Linked DNA regions of Cricetulus griseus. The protein of the gene in region 2 purifies or fractionates together with the protein of the main gene of each other region. This does not show direct contact. Links are inferred from orthologs where the notes say so. Each region holds a gene or a part of one and is shown on either strand. Other genes may lie near its edges.

What was found.
Region 1: the proteins of Ilk (region 2) and Gcn1 purify together in Homo sapiens (affinity purification with mass spectrometry; 3 studies listed by BioGRID and IntAct, with this or other methods). This does not show direct contact. The link is inferred for Cricetulus griseus from reciprocal best matches to the Homo sapiens genes ILK and GCN1.

What each region holds. Positions count from the first base shown.
Region 1 is NC_048597.1:95,684,160-95,687,726, forward strand, and holds part of Gcn1 (eIF-2-alpha kinase activator GCN1), read left to right. Parts: intron 1-115; coding exon 116-209; intron 210-1,499; coding exon 1,500-1,613; intron 1,614-1,729; coding exon 1,730-1,928; intron 1,929-3,113; coding exon 3,114-3,269; intron 3,270-3,553; coding exon 3,554-3,567. UniProt on the Homo sapiens protein: Ribosome collision sensor that plays a key role in the RNF14-RNF25 translation quality control pathway, a pathway that takes place when a ribosome has stalled during translation, and which promotes ubiquitination and degradation of translation factors on stalled ribosomes.
Region 2 is NC_048596.1:93,960,260-93,963,608, reverse strand, and holds the end of Ilk (integrin-linked protein kinase), read left to right. Parts: intron 1-275; coding exon 276-441; intron 442-577; coding exon 578-673; intron 674-858; coding exon 859-955; intron 956-1,050; coding exon 1,051-1,134; intron 1,135-1,233; coding exon 1,234-1,319; intron 1,320-1,457; coding exon 1,458-1,567; intron 1,568-1,647; coding exon 1,648-1,775; intron 1,776-1,851; coding exon 1,852-1,973; intron 1,974-2,057; coding exon 2,058-2,157; intron 2,158-2,267; coding exon 2,268-2,398; intron 2,399-2,571; coding exon 2,572-2,721; 3' UTR 2,722-2,809; downstream 2,810-3,349. UniProt on the Homo sapiens protein: Scaffold protein which mediates protein-protein interactions during a range of cellular events including focal adhesion assembly, cell adhesion and cell migration.

The DNA.
Region 1 (3,567 bases), on a different chromosome or scaffold from region 2:
CATATACATGCATGCATGAACACACACATACAGGTTTGCTGGCTAGGCTTGGTGGCTGTCAGAAGGCTGAGGAGCCTAGTGACTCTTTTGGGTAACTGGCTCCGGTGTGTTTCAGTGCCCAGCAGGACAGCATAAAAAAGGCCAACATGAAGCGAGAGAACAAAGCCTATTCCTTTAAGGAGCAGATCATTGAGCTCGAGCTAAAGGAGGTGAGTGCATGGATCATCTCTGGGGGCCTGCTGAGCTTAGCACTAGCTCTCTTGCTATGTCTTACATTCCCTCCTGATTTATCCCTGGTCTTCTCCAACCCTGCTAGAGAGAGACTGGGTTGTCACTGCACGTTGCTGCTCTGTCTTTCCGGCCCTAGCATTGTGAGGACAGGTGTGTCTTGATTCCTGATCCTGTGGAGTCCCAGGGATCCTTGAGATGATTGACAGAATATGCTCTAAAGAACTGGTTCTTATGAGAGCTCTAGCCTATCTCAGCCCATGCTCTCCCTCAGTCTTCACCAGGCTGGACTTTTTTTTTTTTCCTTTTACTTTGTTCCCTGCTCTGTCCCGACGGTCCGTGCCCTTCGAACTGCCGGCTGGACGATGACTCAGCTCAGGCTGGGCTTTCTTGTCTCGTCATCACTTGCCCTTCCCAGAAAAGGACTTACTGCCCATCTGTCCATGGTGTGCTTGCTTCACTCTCTTCCTGCTTGTTGCTTTTATAGCATTTGTCATGTTCCACAGTCGTTTTATGTATTTGTTTCCCTGTTTATTGTCTGACTTTACTTGCCAGGTTGTAAGCTCTGTGAGGGGAGGGATTTTATCTTCTCCCCAGTGTCTCCAGCATTTCAAACAGCTCCTGGCATGATGAGGTGCTCAATACTTTGAAACCCAAGCAGCCTATGTCCTGTAAGGGCCTTGGCTGGGTCTGAGGGCAGGCTAAAGTTTTTAATCTGAAGTCATGTGGCCACCAGAATACCCCTTGGAGATCGTTGAAGGACTTGTTATTTCTCCCCTCATCTTTTTAAGCTGAGAATCCTGATTAAAGTGTGCTTCTTTGCTGCTGTCTCCATTCTGTAGGCATCCAGTGGCTGTGACCTTTTATGGAGGGGAAGGAGGGCATGTGCTTGTAATTGTAGTTCTTAGTAGGTCTAAATAATAAAAACCCAGAGTCAGATGTAGAGGAAAATGCTGAGAGATCAGAGAAAAGGAGCAAACCAAAGCCACCTTTATCTCATTAGTTTACCAGTAGAAAAGGGCACAAGTTCCTGGTTTTTTCCTGCTTATATCCTCTCACTTCCTATCTGTCTATACAGACCTCCAGACCTCTATGATTAGCTAGTGTTAAGCTCCATCCTCTGATCTTCAGACAAACTTTATTTGTGCCACATATCACCACAAGTGCTGGGCTTGAGGCCCTGGTCCTAGACTTGAGTCTGACCTGGAATCCTTTTTGGAAGCGGGTCTGTTCCGTGGATATAGAGTTGGTTTCTGACCCCGGCCCTTCAGGAGATAAAGAAGAAGAGAGGCATAAAAGAGGAGGTGCAGCTGACCAGCAAGCAGAAGGAGATGCTGCAGGCCCAGATGGACAAGGAGGCACAAATCCGGAGACGGCTGCAGGAGGTAAGTAGCCATCACCAGCACATGACAGTGCCGGAAGGATCCTCTGTGGTCCATTCCTGCTCTTTGCTGTCTCGGGTTGGACTCTGCTGACTCTGTTCTGGTGGCTCTGCTTGCAGCTGGATGGGGAGCTAGAGGCGGCACTCGGACTGCTAGATGCCATCATGACCAGGAACCCGTGTGGCCTGACCCAGTACATCCCTGTTTTGGTCGACGCCTTCCTGCCCTTGCTGAAGTCTCCCCTGGCTGCTCCCAGGGTCAAAGGCCCCTTCCTGTCCTTGGCTGCCTGTGTCATGCCCCCTAGACTCAAGGCCTTGGGTTAGTCTTTATTTTCTGTCTGTGGGGTCATCTCAGGGATGTTTGGGAATTGGGCTGGAGGTAGCCATGGTATGCTAAGGAGATGTGTGGCCTAAGCTGCCTAATTTTGTTTCCACATGGAAGCAGCCTATGGAACCTCACACTGGATATGCTCAAGAACAGTGAAGTCTTGCCTCTTCCCTCCATTTTGCATTTTCTCTGACTTCTGAGGAGCAGCCTTTTTTTTTTTTTTTTTTTGGTTTTTCGAGACAGGGTTTCTCTGTGTAGCTTTGGAGCCTATCCTGGCACTCGCTCTGGAGACCAGGCTGGCCTCGAACTCACAGAGATCTGCCTGCCTCTGCCTCCCGAGTGCTGGGATTAAAGGTGTGCGTCACCAACGCCCAGCTGAGGAGCAGACTTTACATGCTACTTAGCATCTCATCTTTCTGTAGCAGCTTTGTTTTAGTGCTGGAGACCATATCTAGGGCCTTGTATGCTAGGCAAGTGCTCTGGTAACTGAGCCACACCCCAGCCCTTTGTAGCATTGTTCTCCACAAAGTCAGGTTCAGAGACAGTGAGAGGGTTGGTGTGCTGTGGCTGGTCATTGTGCTCAGAGCTCATGAGCAGCAGGTGTCAGTGACAAGGTCTGAAGAAACACAAGCCAAGCAGGTGGGTGGAAGTTACAATTGCCTTCTCTTGTGAGCCATTGGTAACTTTAAGTAGATTTTCTTCTTAGCCTAAAGGGAATGTTCTCATGACTGGGGTTGGAGTCTACAAGCTGTTCTGAGAAGAAATGTCAGTTGGTGCCTGAGAAGTATTAGTAACTCGTGATGGAGGAACTTTGTAGCTGGAACTTTACTGTGGGATCAGTGACTCTTGACTATTTAGTATCAAAAGTACCAGCTCTGCAGACATGGTACTTTGTGCCTGTAATCCCAAAACTTGGGAGGCGGAGCCATGAGGATCCTGTGTTTCAGGCTAGCCTGGGCTACATAGTGACATCATGCCCCAAAATAAACATCGCCCCCCAAAAAAACAAAGGGCAGCTATTGTGCCTCCCTCTTTGGATACTGTCACAAAGACTTAGTAATTAAGACACCTGCCACAGCAGGGGTGGAGACAAGGCTCCCACTGTTCCTGTGCCGCCTTTGTGTTCTAGCCAGATGTGGTGTCTTTGTGGGTCATTTGCTGCTTTTCTTCTCACAGGCACCTTGGTGAGCCATGTGACACTACGCTTGCTGAAGCCAGAGTGTTCTCTGGATAAATCCTGGTGCCAGGAAGAGCTTCCAGTGGCTGTGAAGAGGGCAGTGTCACTGTTGCACATGCATACCATCACCAGCAGGGTGGGCAAGGGTGAGCCAGGTAAGGGGCAAGGAGGCACTAGATCACAGGGCAGTGTGAGCTGGTGTGGGGAGTGAGGCAGGAGCCAAAGCGTCCCTAAGCTTACTGTGCCTTTGGTGTTGGGAGAGTCCTCTCTCTCTGGCCTTGGTTTTCCTTGTTTGCCTCTGTTCAGTCTCACATTCTGGGACTGGGCCAATCTGTGGGGTAGAAGTGGCCCTGGTCTAGCACCAGGTTACCAGCCATTGTGCCTGGCACTGTGCTTGGTATCAGGCTTCCAGCTTCTGTCTGCTCTGCTGCTCTCACAGATGCTGCACCCCTG
Region 2 (3,349 bases):
GACGCCAAAGAACCCAGAAGAGTGCTATCACCTAATGAAGAACTGCTAGGGAAGAGGATCTAGGAGATGGTCATTAAAGTAATAAACCTTACAGTTGTTGGGACATCTGAGTGACTGGGTGTGAAGCTCAAGGGAAAATCTGAATTGAACTTTGTGAATTGCTGACATGAGTAAAAATTAAGTACTAGAGAGGCAAGCCTTCTCAGTGAATATAGAATTCTCCCATCAAAGCTTTTGTCCCTCCCAACCTCCAATTCCATGCCTCTTTCTCAAAGGGATGATCATGGCTTCTCCCCCTTGCACTGGGCCTGCCGAGAAGGCCGCTCTGCGGTGGTTGAAATGCTGATCATGAGAGGAGCACGTATCAATGTGATGAATCGTGGGGATGATACCCCCCTGCACCTGGCAGCCAGTCATGGACACCGTGACATTGTACAGAAGGTATGGGCAAACCCTTCAACACCCACATCTCACATGTACACAATTGTGAAGTCAGTAACAGCTATTGTCACATGGAGAATGTGTACTATCTAAATTTGGGACTATATTCTTTTCTTTTCTTGGCCATGGGGCGCAGCTGTTGCAATACAAGGCTGACATCAATGCAGTGAATGAGCATGGGAATGTGCCCCTTCACTATGCCTGTTTCTGGGGTCAAGACCAGGTGGCAGAGGTAAGTACTCAGACCTAAGTCCTAGGATGAGTGGGAAACAAATTGAGCATGGAACCATCAACCCATCCTGTCAATCCTACTGTGTGACACTTACAGGACAGTACACTGCATCTCTGTTCGTGCTTGCTTGTGACACAGTTAACAGCCCCCCCTCCCCCTGAATAAAAATTATCTTTTCTTTGCAGGACCTGGTGGCTAACGGGGCTCTTGTCAGCATCTGTAACAAGTATGGAGAGATGCCTGTTGACAAAGCCAAGGCACCCCTTAGAGAGCTTCTCCGAGGTCCATTCCCTACCCCTAGCTTGTGTCCTCTTGTCCTATCTTGCATCTCTTCCCTCTATATCACAGTTAAGGCTAAGACTGTTTTTCCTCCCCAGAACGGGCAGAGAAGATGGGCCAGAATCTCAACCGTATTCCATACAAGGACACATTCTGGAAGGGGACCACTCGTACTCGGCCCCGTGAGTCACTGCTGTGGGGGGAAGGGCTGTAATTCAGGATCCTGGGCTAGTGAAGTGGGTTAGGGTGAAGCTGGGTACCTGACCTACCCATATTCTCAGGAAATGGGACCCTGAACAAACACTCCGGTATTGACTTCAAACAGCTCAACTTTCTGGCAAAGCTCAACGAGAATCATTCTGGAGAGGTGATCCCTGCCCTTCTTGCCCCTCCCTCTCTAACACTCACAAACTGCCACTCTGTATCTCTAAGGTTTTCTTCCAGTTAATAGAAAGGAAATAGTATAGCCTGAGCTAATACCGCCTAACCTCTACCTGTCCTTCAGCTATGGAAAGGCCGCTGGCAGAGCAATGACATTGTTGTGAAGGTGCTGAAGGTTCGAGACTGGAGTACAAGGAAAAGCAGGGACTTCAATGAAGAGTGTCCCCGGCTCAGGTGGGACAGCAAAAGTGGAAGCCCAAATAGTACTGAAAAGGGAAATTCTGTTGGGTCTCACCACTCTCTCCCTCTCCCAGGATTTTCTCACATCCAAACGTGCTTCCAGTGCTAGGAGCTTGCCAGGCTCCACCAGCTCCCCACCCAACCCTTATCACACACTGGATGCCATATGGATCTCTCTACAATGTACTACATGAAGGCACCAGTAAGGATACTGGCCTTGTTGGGGAGGGACTAAAATAGGGGTGGTAAACTCTAAATTAATTCTTGCTTCCGGTTAGATTTCGTTGTGGACCAGAGCCAAGCTGTAAAGTTTGCTTTGGACATGGCAAGAGGCATGGCTTTTCTACACACACTAGAGCCTCTCATACCTCGACATGCACTAAATAGCCGTAGTGTAATGGTGAGTCCACAAGTTCACTACTGGTCCCCAAAGCCCTCTGCATGCCTACAATAGGGCCCACCTTTTTGAACTTCTCTTCCTCAGATCGATGAAGACATGACTGCTCGAATCAGCATGGCTGATGTCAAGTTTTCTTTCCAGTGCCCAGGGCGCATGTATGCACCTGCCTGGGTGGCCCCTGAAGGTAGGTGAAGGCATCATGTTGGGAATTGAGAAGAACCAACACAATAACAGTGGAAGAGGCAGAGATAGGACAGGCTAGGCAGCTGGAGTAGTAAGCCCTCTTCCTTCCAGCCCTGCAGAAGAAGCCTGAAGACACTAACAGACGCTCAGCAGACATGTGGAGCTTTGCAGTGCTTCTGTGGGAACTGGTGACACGAGAGGTGCCCTTTGCTGACCTCTCTAATATGGAGATCGGAATGAAGGTGAGCATAGAACTGCACATACTTGTATAGGGGTAGTGGTGCTGACAATTGCTGTGGCAAGCTCTTCTCACAATTTGTGCAGATTTATAGTAATCCCATTGAAGGGTCAAAAGTTTTTTTACCATATGATTAACTCCAACTCTGAAGTTCACCTTGTTCCTTGTAATTTCCAGGTGGCACTGGAAGGCCTTCGGCCTACAATTCCACCAGGTATTTCCCCACACGTGTGTAAGCTCATGAAGATTTGTATGAATGAAGATCCTGCAAAGCGACCCAAGTTTGACATGATTGTGCCTATCCTGGAGAAGATGCAAGACAAGTAGGACTGGAAGGTCCTGGCCCAGACTCCAGAGGTGTCAAAACAAGGTTGGGGGAGTGTACTTCCCCAAAGCTGAAGGCCTCTGGTTGCCTCCCGTCTCCAATCATGGTACTACCCCAGTTATGGGGCTCATCCCTGCTCCCATCCCTACCACTGTAGCCCCAAAAGGGGCTGGGCTCAAGAGCTTTGTCACTTGCCACATGATGTCTCCCAACATGGGAGGGATAAGCCCTGCCTGTCACAATAAAGTTTATTATGAAAACAGGCTGGTGTGGGGACAGAGGGAAAGACAAATACATCTGGGTTAGGTGGCTCAGGTGAAGTAGTGCGGCTTCTTCACATTGATACCATATTCACTGAGGGCAGGGGTCAAGTCCTCCATGGTTAGGGTGTACTTGCGGTCCTAAGGGAAGAGGGAAGACCACCAGCTGAGCACAGTAATCCCAGATTCCAGTCCCTCGTAGATAACCCTGAGTAGGCCCAATACCGCCCCTAGGATGCTGCTTCCCAAAGGGGTTTCAGGATAAGTTAAGCCTGTACTGCTGTGGAAGGTGAGCCGCCTTTCACACCTTGCTCTTGCTCCGGGAGCTGCCAGAGGCTGTACCCTTCATTTTGCAGTGCTGTAGGGCATC